Callithrix jacchus: one gene and its partners. The protein of the gene in region 1 binds, or shares a complex with, the protein of each later gene. Links are inferred from orthologs where the notes say so. Each region holds a gene or a part of one and is shown on either strand. Other genes may lie near its edges.

The links.
Region 2: the proteins of S100B (region 1) and CAPZA1 are in contact, whole or in part, in an NMR structure (PDB 1MQ1), measured with the Homo sapiens proteins. The link is inferred for Callithrix jacchus from reciprocal best matches to the Homo sapiens genes S100B and CAPZA1. Residues at the interface, in NP_006263.1 of Homo sapiens: Glu46, Glu47, Lys49, Val53, Lys56, Val57, Thr60, Phe77, Met80, Val81, Ala84, Cys85, Glu87; in NP_006126.1 of Homo sapiens: Thr265, Arg266, Ile269, Asp270, Trp271, Asn272, Lys273, Ile274, Leu275.
Region 3: the proteins of S100B (region 1) and CAPZA2 are in contact, whole or in part, in a crystal structure (PDB 3RM1), measured with the Bos taurus proteins. The link is inferred for Callithrix jacchus from reciprocal best matches to the Homo sapiens genes S100B and CAPZA2. Residues at the interface, in NP_001029727.1 of Bos taurus: Ile37, His43, Phe44, Leu45, Glu46, Ile48, Lys56, Val57, Thr60, Phe77, Met80, Ile81, Ala84, Cys85, Phe88; in NP_001013016.1 of Bos taurus: Thr267, Lys268, Ile269, Trp271, Ile274, Leu275.

What each region holds. Positions count from the first base shown.
Region 1 is NC_133522.1:52,192,057-52,196,001, reverse strand, and holds the start of S100B (protein S100-B), read left to right. Parts: upstream 1-1,145; 5' UTR 1,146-1,214; intron 1,215-3,300; 5' UTR 3,301-3,743; coding exon 3,744-3,881; intron 3,882-3,945. UniProt on the Homo sapiens protein: Small zinc- and- and calcium-binding protein that is highly expressed in astrocytes and constitutes one of the most abundant soluble proteins in brain.
Region 2 is NC_133508.1:150,580,645-150,584,784, forward strand, and holds the start of CAPZA1 (F-actin-capping protein subunit alpha-1), read left to right. Parts: upstream 1-1,340; 5' UTR 1,341-1,367; coding exon 1,368-1,406; intron 1,407-1,434; coding exon of another isoform or gene 1,435-1,521; exon of another isoform or gene 1,522-1,650; intron 1,651-4,140. Other genes in the region: ST7L (suppressor of tumorigenicity 7 protein-like), read right to left, coding at 456-660. UniProt on the Homo sapiens protein: F-actin-capping proteins bind in a Ca(2+)-independent manner to the fast growing ends of actin filaments (barbed end) thereby blocking the exchange of subunits at these ends.
Region 3 is NC_133512.1:87,439,903-87,444,013, reverse strand, and holds the start of CAPZA2 (F-actin-capping protein subunit alpha-2), read right to left. Parts: upstream 2,801-4,111; 5' UTR 2,689-2,800; coding exon 2,650-2,688; intron 1-2,649. UniProt on the Homo sapiens protein: F-actin-capping proteins bind in a Ca(2+)-independent manner to the fast growing ends of actin filaments (barbed end) thereby blocking the exchange of subunits at these ends.

The DNA.
Region 1 (3,945 bases):
GCTCAGGTCCTTCCTCACAGGAGGCTGGGGCATGCTCAGCCATGCAAGACCACAGCTTTCAGCCCCGTGCTGTTTCCAGGGCACACTTACGGATGCTGAATGAGAGAACTTTCTAGATAAAACAGGTGACAGCAAAACAGCCATGTACACAGGTATCTTGTGGGAAACCCTTCCACAACCACTTTGAAACTGGGTGGGGAGAAGGACCTGACGCAGGGTCAGGCATCCTTTGGGGCCCATGGACATGTGTGGAGAGTTTGGGCCAATGCTTTTGTGTGATTTGTCAGAAGGCACGCCCACTTCTTCCCTCCTGTGAAGAACCCGCAAACTGGCCCCTGCACTCAGAGACTCACATAGGGCACATAGAGGGGACGACTGGATTTCTCCTTCGAGGCTTCGGCAAGGGGCACAGCATCCACACACCTCTGTAAAACAGCGTTCGGATAGGGCATCTCTAAGGCATTGTGCGACTCTGCCGGTCTGTGACCTTCCACACTGGGGTGGAGCATAAGGCCTTGGGATACAATCCACATCACGCTAAACAAGGACTTTCCCCTCAAAGTACCACACATTTCAGTCCCTGCAGACACGGGGCTCAGCAGCTTCTGTGAGGCAGCCCTGTTGAACCCAGGGCTGACCACGGACAAGCACTACTGTCCACAGAAGCCCGCGCCCAGTGGGGCCAGCCATGGAGGCTGGCAGAGGAGAGAGGCTCCAGGGGTCTCTCCATCGGAAGCCAGATCGCAGGCCACCTACTCTCCTACGCTCAGCCTGTACTTGGAAGCTTCTGGTTCTTGGCTGCACATTTGCTTTGTTTGAATCAATTAGCCCAAGTCTCTCTCTCTCCACCCCCAACCTTGCCTTCAGCAGAACATCAATATTCATGTAACAAATAAATAGCACAAAAAGCTGACTCCCCACTTCCTGCCCCACAGGCCCTTCTTCTTCCTCAGCCCGTGTGCAATCCTGGCTCCTGGCAAGTCCCCGGGCTGCTTGGTCAATGCAGCCCTGTGTGCCAGCCTGGCAGCCCTGCCGCCCCCACCCTCGGCCCCCATTGGCTGTCACAGCCTGCAGTGGGCTGCACCTGGGTTCATCCGTCCTCCCTGGGCAGAGGGGATAAGAGGTTGCCCCTGTGCACCAGTCCTGCCCTCCAGGACCGGCAGCAGAGACGAGGCCTGCAGCAAGGAGACAAGGAAGGGTGAGACGCGGAAGAGGTGAGAGAGCCAGGCCAGGAGGACGCTCAGGAAGAAATGGTTTTGTTTTGGGTGGAACAGGGTGGTGGAGGAGGGGTAGAAACTATCCCTTTAGGATAATTGGCAGCATTTCAGAAGGGTCAATAGCACGATGTGCTTTAATCTCCACTTCATTGCTGCTTTGTGGACACCCGACCGCACCAGCCCTAGACAGCCAGAGCTGTTTGCCTGTGTTTTGCCATAAATCAGAGAAACCTCAGCTCTCATGGTCCAGAAGTGATTGTTGACATTTTCCCAGTGATACTACAAACACTGCCTCTTCTGTAACGATTTGAAGAGCAAGGTTTTTGTTTCCCACTGGGGCTGAAAATGAGAGAGAATCTAATGCTAGTTTAGTCCTATATCATAAATAAATGCTTTCCTTTTCTCCCTCTTACTTCTTCCACCGCCCTGGGTAAGTAACTTCAGTTTTCCAGTTTCCCTCAGTTTAAAAAGCCAGGGTCCCCGCAGCCCCAGGACACCACTCAGAAATTACATAACAATTACAGATAAATTGGGTCCAAGAAAGTGGAGTTTTGGCGAGTTTTAACTTTCCTCAGTCTTACAGTTTCTCAGGGAGTCGAACCCCTTCTTTAGAGGGATCTTCACGCACTAGCTAAACTGTCGAAGGAGTTAAAGTTCAAATATTCTCTTGTTCTCAATATTAGAAGGTTAATGTAGAACATCTACAGAATGTAAGAAAGAAATGGATATTTATTTCCATTTATCTTACAAGATAAACTGTAAACCATCAACTGTTTCTTAAGTCAAAGGGAAAAATTTAACAAAAATTTTTTAATTGATTTGTAGTGTGGTTATGAAGAAAACCGTATTTTCTAGTGGTTTCTATTAGGGTTCTAATATATGGAATACATGTTTTATGCCTTTCCTTTGTAAAAATCCCATTAGTCATAATTCGCAGAAAAACAATTTAACCTCCTTTTCCCTAAATCATCACCAACTTTGAGGAGCATCAGAATGATGCAAAAGTGTATTTTGTTTTGTGTGGTTTTTTAAAATACACACACGCACACGCACACATACACATCAATAACCGAACATTTTAGTGCAAAGAATAAGAAAACATGAAATGCTAAAAAATTTTAATCCCTCTTAGCTGTTCTATTTGTGAAGTATACTGATTATTAATACAATGACTTTAGCAAAGATCTGGCCAGTATAAAAAAATCTCCAGTCCTGTTTCCTTTGGAGGATCAGAAATAAATAAAAATTTTTACATCTAATTCCAAATTATTTTTAAGATGTAAGTGATCTATTCAACATAGGAATGATTTTTGATAATATTTGATTTATTAATTTATTTTTAATTATAACAGTGCAAATGTTCTCATTTAATGATTAGAATCCGAGGCCAAAAGCTGGTAAATCTCTCTGCCTGCGCGTCTGTTCAGTGAAACAACTGACAAGGCATCCTTTGTAAAATGCGCCTCATTCCCAGACTGACCAGGTATTTCCTTGGTTTGTAGGCTGTGACGTACGGTACTTGCTGTGAGGGAGCAGGAGGGCTCTTACTGAGATTGCGGCAGAGAAGCATATTCCTGTACCGTCCCAGTTACCGCAGTGAATGAGCCACCATTTCCCTGCACGGGAGGTGGAATGCTTGCTCAGCAGCTCAGCTTTCTGCTGGGTTCTGTCCTTCCCTGCGACAGAACCACACCCATTTAATCAATTAAACTTAAGATACATTTTTTTTTTTCCTGGTAGGTCAGTTACCTTTTATTGTTATTCTTCAAAAAGATCGTGGCAATTCTACCATATTTATTTGTCCTGATGAATTTTACAGCTGTTTTTGTCATGTCACCCACCCAAAAAATTCCATTATTTTTATTAAAGATGATTTAAATTTACATTTGAATTTAAAGGAAAAAGTTCCTACGTTTTATGTTTCTCAGAATCTCTTGGAAGCACCTGCATTTTTCCTCCTAAACTTACTCCTACAGCACCTGTCATTGCTATATGAAAAGGGTGTCTTGCACTGTATTCTCTACTTCTTTATTGATAGAAAAGAGGAATGCTGTTGATTTTTGTCTTCTTATTTTGCTCCTAGTCACCGTCTCACCAGCTTGCAGTTCATGCTTTGCTCACCTGCACTCGACCACCTCATCTTGGAGCTTTACAAGGACAGAGAGGGACCCTGCGGGAAGCAGAAATTAATCCCTGAATTCCCTTTCTGCTCTGCCTCTGTATTTTTGCTGAAGTTTTCCCATTCACCCAACCCAACCAGAAGCCAGAGGGCATGGGAAGATATCCCTGTGGCTCAGAGGGACAGAGAAGGCAGGCCCACATGTGTCTAAGAGGCAGGTGGGAGGACTGTGATGAAAGCACAAATTTCCTGAATGCCCTTCCAGGCGTTGCCTGCTGCTCTGAGCTTGAAAAGAATGCAAGGCCAGCCCATCCCCCTTGTCTGGGTTGAGGTCTGTGTCGATAACACACGAAATGCTTACGATGAGGTATAGATGAGAAGGCATCTTTCCTTTGTGAGCCCCTAGGATGTCTGAGCTGGAGAAGGCCATGGTGGCCCTCATCGACGTTTTCCACCAGTATTCCGGAAGGGAGGGAGACAAGCACAAGCTGAAGAAATCCGAACTGAAGGAGCTCATCAACCATGAGCTTTCCCATTTCCTAGAGGTGAGTCTTGCTTTTTAAACTTGACACTTTCCCCATCTCCTCTTACAAAGCCACTGTACACTGG
Region 2 (4,140 bases), on another chromosome or scaffold:
CATGCCATTTTCTTTCTTTGAAATCTTTAAACTACAGATGTGCTCATCTTCCTGGTCCGGGTGTGAGTTCTCCCAGCTGGGCGGGACTCAAAGTGATGACTTTGAAGGGATCCTACCAGTGGTGGGGCTGTACAGAAATTATGTATCCTAATCTGAGAATGCACTCTTGTGCCCTCATACCTGAAGCTTACAGTTTGTCAGGTGGCTTTTCCACGGAAAAAACGAGGACAGAAGAGAGAGGGCGGACCTTAGGAGTTCTAGGGAGGAGCCAGCCGGTAGCGGCAGCAGGTTTGACAATCAACTGCAAGGTTGCAGCCCAAAAGAAAAAGAACGCACTTGGTCACGCATCGTCGACTCCTCAGAGTCATAACTACCGAGAATGTCTGCCCTTTGGCTCTTGCCCACAACACCTTTCCTGGCCCCCAGCCCTGCCCCAGAGGGTCTGGTCCGCTCACCCGCTGCCAAATTCTCACACAGCCTCAAAGGGATCCTCAGAGCGTAAAGCAGTCCCAGTCCCGCCACGAACCACAACGAGGCCCCAGTCCCCGCCAATCTGGCCCGCAGTCGCTCCCTCCAGCCCAGAGTCGGATTTAGGCCGAGAACAAGTGCAGGACACGTTCCAGCAGCCTCGGCTTCCGCCAAACAACCAGGGTCCGCCATCTTGCCGCTACCGCAGGCGCCGGGAGCTGGGAGGGGAGGACAGGAAACCGGGAGTCGGGAATCCTGGGATAGTGGCGGACCTTCAGTTGGTCTCTGTGAAGGCTGAGTCCTGGGGAACCGGGACCGAGAAGATTTCGAAGGTGGAGGAGCGTGTCCCAAGATTGGGACTACATATTCCTTCGTGGGGCAGGGAAGGGGCGGACAGCAATGCCTGTTCTGGAGGACTGGACTGAGATGTGACCCCAAAGTGAAGTGTTAACTGCTTCCAAGCGAGATGAGCGTCACCTTTCACACCCCTGCCCCCCCCCCGGGGTTGGAAAAGCCACGGATCGTTCCAACGGCCGAGCAGCTCTTAGAGCTTTGGACTCGGTTGTCAGGAAGATAAACGGGTACCGGAAAAACTTATAGAAGCAGCAATAGCTACTTGGATGGAGGCCAGGAGCCAAGAAAAATGGAAACACGCTGCCAGCGCCCATCAGATGGATGAGGAATGAGAAAGATATTAGACTTCAGATCGCCGAAGGCAAAGCTGACTTCCTAGGGCGCTGGCGCTAGGAGACGTCACCCCCGCGCATAACTGACATGGCGCCCTCTTGGTCGGCGTTTCCGGGCGGGTCCTTCCGACGGCCCCCGCGGTGATTCCATCACTCGGCTTCCTTCCCGGCCTGCCTCGCGCTCGCAGCCGGGCTGGGCCAGAACAGCCCAAGATGGCCGACTTCGATGATCGTGTGTCGGATGAGGAGAAGGTAAGGGGTGTCCGCCTCTTTCTCTTACCTCCTCCCGCGACAGGGAACAGGGGCCCGGCCGGGATGCGTTGGGAGCCTGGCAGTGTCTCCAGGAAAAAGAAACTTCTTGGCCCATGCTGACATACGCTCTCCGCAGTCGGGACGCTTCCCTTTTGCGGGGCTTTCCTCTGCCTCACGGTGGCCCCAGTTCCTCGTTCCTCGACTCTCCTTTCCTCCCGGGCCTAAGGCACAGCCCAGGGGCCTCCCTGCAAGGGAACAGACGTTTCCTTTATTGGATGGTGACTGTGGACTTTGTTCTGTAATCCTGAGCGGGGGTGACGGTTGTGTTGCGCCATACCATAAAGCAGTTGTTTTACCGCCTTTAGCAGTTGGGGCTCACCCCATCCCCCCATTTGTAGATACAAGTGGGGTTAGTTTAGGGCCAGTCACTTCCTGATCAGGATGGCCTCTTAACTTCCCTTTTGCTCCTCCTTCCTCAGGAAGTGATTTTGCTGTCACGACTCCTCGACAGAGAGAGGTCCCAAATGTCCACCTCACTACACATCCACTACTTTTTCTCACGTACTGTCGCCTGACTGATTCGATGTAATCTGTGAGCCTCAGGGCCTTTGCTTCAGAATTCGAACACCAGTCTTTCCCTGTAGACACATCCTTTTAACGATAATTTTTGAAAATTTTGTTTCTTGTTAACAAATCTAGAATCGCTGATGGATTTTCTTCGCCTCCAGAAAGGTTTTCTGTTAACACATAATAAACCTCATGTTAACACATTCAAGTCTGGACAAAGCATCCTGTCTTCTTTGATGCTCCACTGTGGAGTCTGATTAGTTGAATTTGTCAGTGTGCAATGTGTATACTGATTTCTTGAAAATTGTCTCAAATACAAGAGCACATTCTAAGTTAGGTGGACTAACTTTTCTTCTGACAGTTGCACAGTTTCATAACAGTTTGTCAGGTTTTTCAGTAAGTACATGATTTTAGGGCACATAGAACTTAGAGTGGATCTCACAAGACAACTTATTGCGCAAGAATTATTACATTTGTCTCGCACTGTGGCTATTAGAAAATGTGCCCCCTTGAGTACTCTGTAAATCCACCTGGATCTTTTTTAATAAGAAATTGGAATGGGGAGGGGACTGTTAAGATCCATAAGACCTCTGTACAAAATAACTTGATCAGCTACATATGGCATGCCATTTTAAAATGCTTAACAAGCCATCGAACAACAACAGCATTAGATTTTCTCTTATTTGGAAACCGATCTTCATAAATGTTTAAGATTTAGGACAAAAACAAAAACATTTATATATGAGCTTAGGCTGGAAATCAATCTATAATAAATTGTTCTAAAGGAAATAGTTAACAATTCAAATAAAAGTAAGCAAAAATACTGTTTCAGTAAAATTTCACAGTTTTTTTTTTTGAAACAAAGCGTTGCTCTGTCACCCAGGTTGAAGTACATTAGTGCAATCTTGGCTTGCTGCAACTTCTGCCTCCCGGGTTCAAGTGATTCTCCTGCCTCAGCCTCCCAAGGAGCTGGAATTACAGGCTTGCGCCACCATGCCCATTTAATTTTTGTATTTCTTGTAGAGACTGGGTTTCGTCTTGTTGCCCAGGCTGGTCTCCAACTCTTCGGCTCAAGCGATCCATCCACCTCAGCCACCTAAAGTGCTGGGATTACAGGCTTCGGCCACTGCACCCAGCCAAAATTTCACAAATAATTTGAATAATAAACTTTTCAGTTTATTGTGCCTTTGTGGTACACATTGACCAGTGTTGTTGGATTTTTGTCTTTGATACCAGGTTAGAATGCCTTTAATTAAACTTGGGAAAATATATTTTTTAAAGTGCCAATTAAGATGCCTTTAGATACTGACAGTGTTTTAATTAATAACGTTAATAGTCTTGGGTTGTTTTTATTTTGAGACAGAGTCTCATACTGTCACCCGGGCTGGATTGCAGTGGCATGGTCTCAGCTCCTTGCAACCTCTGCCTCCTGGGTTCAAACAATTCTCCTGCTGCAGCCTCCAGAGCCTGGGATTACAGGTGCATGTAATCCAAAACCTGGGATTACAGGTGCATGTAATCCAAAACCTGGGATTACAGGTGCCTGCCACCATGTCCAGCTAATTTTTGTATGTTTAGTAGAGACAGGATTTCACTGTGTTGGCCAAGCTGATCTCAAACTCCTGACCTCATGATCCTCTCACCTCGGCCTCTCAAAGTGCTGGGATTACAGACAGATGTGAGCTACCGTGCAGGTCCAGTCTTGGTTTGATAATAGCAGGTCTGGGACCAGTTTCCTCTTCTAGCATACTTCTTTTGTTGCCAAATATATGTCATTATTGCTTTTTATCTTTGTTACATTTTCTAAAGGCAGTAAACCTTTAGAAAATTTGGTGATAATGAATGGACTCTAATTTCCTTATAAATATTTCTGTAAAAGCTAGTAAAATCATCCATTCTCATAACTAACCACTGAAGTTTTTTTTTTAGTCACTTTATAAAGAGGAAGTTGGGTTTCGTTACCTGAAATGGTCATGATGAGCTGTCTAAATAAAACAGGAAGTTGAACGTGTAATAACTTTTAGAAATAAACGTTTTAGTTCTCTTTGAGTTCACAGTTTCTGAAAATGAACTTGAGCTTTTTAGTTACATGCTTAGCAAGACCAAGATACCATAACTAGGAAGCCTGAAATACGAGATGAACTACTTCTTTGGGTTCTTTTCATTG
Region 3 (4,111 bases), on another chromosome or scaffold:
CGAGTAGCTGGGATTACAGGCACGCGCCACCACGCCCAGCTAATTTTTTATATTTTTAGTAGAGACGGGGTTTCACCATGTTGACCAGGATGGTATCGATCTCTTGACCTCGTGATCCACCCGCCTCGGCCTCCCAAAGTGCTGGGATTACAGGCTTGAGCCACCGCGCCCGGCCTACTAAAAGCTTTTGAACTTCACTCTACTCATCTGTGAAATGGTAGTAGGACAACTACCTCTTAAAACAAATTAAGTAATGAATGTATCTAACTCAGCCAAGCATATATAAAGTATAGTACTAGATACATCTTAACAGCTTCCCTTTCTTAGATTTGCAATCTAGAATGGAAATTTCGAAAACTTAAAACTTATTATTTTTTAGAGATGAGGTCTCACTATGTTGCCCAACTGGTTTACAACTTCTAGGCTCAAGCAATTCTCCGCATTTGGCATCCAGAGTAGCTGGCATTACAGGTGCAAACCACTGTGTCCAGCTTGAGAACTTATTTTTGAAAATTACCAAAAAGACGGTAGAAAGAGAAATATTAATATATCACTTTCAAGTCCTCTCTGTTTCTGATCCCATACTGGACACATCCTCCACCCCAAAATGAAAAATACCTTTAGATATCTAAAGTGACAAGAACGTTAAAATTTCACTTAACTGGTTACTTGCATTTACCCCAAAAGTTCTGTCAGTTTTTTAATTAGTAAATATAGTGATGAAATTTATATGTATAATATCTACAGAATATTCTTACAAAACACCAAAAATCAAATTAGAATTTTCACTAATTTACCCATAAAACATTTTGCTAGTAGGCGGCGCAAGCTTGAAGACACACAACCTCCTCACTCCTCCTCATGAAGCTTAGTGCCCTGAGACTGCTGGATAATAAGGAATTTTGTAAACCCATTTTTTAAAAGCTTTTTAATTTTAGGCCTTTACAACACATGGCAGGTCTATATTAACTCCCACACAGTATTCTCTCTTCAGCTAAATTTCTAGCCACTTGAGCAACTACTAATTACGACTTAAGAATGGTAAAATAAAAACGTGACAATCTCTTTTTAAACTTTTTAGCACAACTCAATTTTAAATATGTGTTTGTGCACTCCAGTGCATTTTCGGACAGCTACTTTGGGTTATTTACCAAGACTGTAGACGTGAATACTGCACAGCAACTTTTCTGGATACAGGGATCTGCCTACTGGGGGTTATGGAGATGTTGCTCACCCCCATTTTGTTGCTGTATTATCACTTTCACCAAAGAGCACAAGAGGAAAAAATATTTCCAAAATAAAGATGAGATTGACTTCTGCCCATTCACATCGGGAATGGGACGGAACCTTCTCTTTCAGTGCAAGAATACAGTATATAAAAACATCTAGAGCAGAGGGTCCAAATTGAAAATATCCTCAAACTTACGTGAGGATCTGTTAACCACCACAACGTACCTAAAGGTACTTGTATTTTCCTGCATTGGCTATACAGCTTTGGAACTTAAAAATGAAGCACACTTTAACGAAGAGTTAAAGAGCATTTCCAACCCTGCAACTAACTCATTCGTGTCTGTCAGTTACTTCGGGAGTACTTCTAAGTTTGAGAAACCTCAGGTTCCTTTCCGAGAAACTGTCAAAATTAGCAGAGTTCTCCCCTACCCCACTACCCTCGGGAACCGGACGTTCGCAAAAGCCAAAGGAAAGGAGAGTGTAAAAGAGCAACAGTTCAATGAATTATTCGATTTCTCGTTTTAAATATCTGAGAACTTATGTCGTTCACCTGGTTCCAGTGTTGTCACAGCATCTAACATACAGTAAAAGGACTTGCACAATTTCCCCTCTTCGGAAGAAGTCCTAGCAGGAAGGTAAGGTGCCATCAAATCGCCCCCCGGGGGGGCTGCTGCCAACGTGGATAGAAAACAACTATGGGGAGGGGGTCGTCTTTTTGTGAGCAACTCCACTGCCTCTTGAGGAACATGGGAGCTGCAAAGCCTAAAGCTAGAGCCACGAAGTGAGAGGGCGGGCGGGCGGGAGAGAGACAGGCCTCCATGGGGAAAGGAAAAAAAAAAGCATAAAACGTAGAGAATCAGAAAAGGAAGCATTTTGCTTTGGGGAGGGGGAAGTAGAAGGGAGAACTGAAGGTCTGCTTCCTAAGCAATTTTTCCCTTCCCCTCACCCGCCGCTACACTCACAGGCCAGGCTGCCGCTCTGGGCACTGCCCTTGGGCCGCTCCCAAGCCGGGACGCAGACCCCTTTGCGCCCCCGGTCCCCGGTCCCCGGCCCCCGGCCCCCAGCTCCCGGCGCAGGCCCCGCGGCCGGGTAACAGGAGAGGGTCCCGGGCGGCCGCCGCCCTCCCCGGCGCCCGCGCCCCCGCCCCCGCCCGCCGCCGCCTGGCTCCCCTTTCCTATTTTCGGAGCACACACCCTACAAGGAGCGGAGTGAGTAGGCCTGGCTGAGACCTGCCCCCGCGCGGGGCCTCGGGTGACGGACGGGGGCAGGCACTGGGCGCAGTGAGGAAGGGGGGAGGAAGGGCAGCCGAGGGCACCGCCCGCTGCGGGCCAATGCTTCCCCAGCGACCCGACTCCGGGCGCACAAGCCAGGGCTGAGCCGGCTCCTGAAGGCCCGCGCCGCCGCCCCCGCGGCTCTTACCTTCTCTTCATCAGACAACTGCTCCTCCAGATCCGCCATCTTCCTTCTAGCGACAAACCGCGGCGGCGGCGGCGGCGGCGGCGGCCACCTGACTTCCCCTTTTCCGTGCGGTCCTCCGCGCCGCGCACCCCCGCTAAGGGAGGGGCCCGCCGCTCAGGCCGCCGCGCACGCGCCCCGGGAGCCCCGCCTCCCTCGACCGGCCCTCAGAGCCTGAGCGCGGCTGTGCGCGTGCGCGTGCGCGGGCGCCTGGTGGCCCGGCGGGGGACGGTGTCTCCCAGGGCCACCTGCATAGGTTTGCTAGCTTTCTCTCCCCACCAGTGACCATATGGGCTCAGTCTGCGATGAGTACATTCTGAGCCCTTCGTTATGTTTCCATCAAGTCCTGAACTCTGCTAGCTAAAATGTGAAAAGGTGTGCAATAGAAGCTTTTTAAACATTGGTTTTTCAAATATTAGAAAAAATAGTCGGCTTTCATTAAAATACACACACCCAACCCGCTCCATAATTGAAAGATTGCTCTTGATATATTTCTTATTTATCCAACAAATATTTTTTGGTCCTTCAACGGGGTGTGGGGCACTGTGTTAGTCTCCGGGGTTACAGTGTTGAGGTTCCCCCAAAGCAAGCTAGACATGCATGTTCATAGCAGCACAATTCGCAATTGCAGAGATGGAACCAACCTAAGTGTCTATCAACCAACGAGGGGATAGAGAAAATGTGGTATATATACACCATGGAATACTACTCAGCCATAAAAAAGAAGGAAATAATATTTTTTGCAGCAACTTGAAAGGAGCTGGAAGCCATTATTCTAAGTGAAGTAACTCAGTAATAGGAAACCAAATATCCTATGTTCTCACTTAAAAGGGTGAGCTAAGTTCTGGGGGTGCAAAGGCATAAAATGGACTTTGGGGATTGGGGAGGGGATAAATGACTACATACCGGGAACAGGGTACACTGCTCAGGTGATGGCTGCACTAAAATCTCAGAAATCACCACTAAAGGGCTTATCCATGTAACCAAAAATCCACCTGTACTCCAAAACTATTTATTTCAATAAGACAAACTTCTGTTCTAGGAAGCTCACCTACTACTCTAAACAAACATACATTGAACAGCTGGGGCTGGGTGTAGTGGCTCAGGCCTGTAATCCCAGCACTTTGGGAGGCCTCGGTGGGAGGATCACCTGAGGTCAGGAGTTCGGGACCGGACTGGCCAACATGGAGAAAGTTCTCTCTACTAAAAATACAAAAATTAGCCAAGCCATGGTGGCACATGCCTGTAGTACCAGCTACTTGGGAGGCTGAGGCAAGAGAATTGCTTGAACCCTGGAGGGGGAGGTTGCAGTGAGCCGAGATCGAGTCATTGCACTCCAGCCTGGGCGACAGAGCAAGACTCAAAAACAAAAAAAACCAAAAGCCAAACAACAAAATAGTTGGGGAAGGCATTGGACTATTCCAGG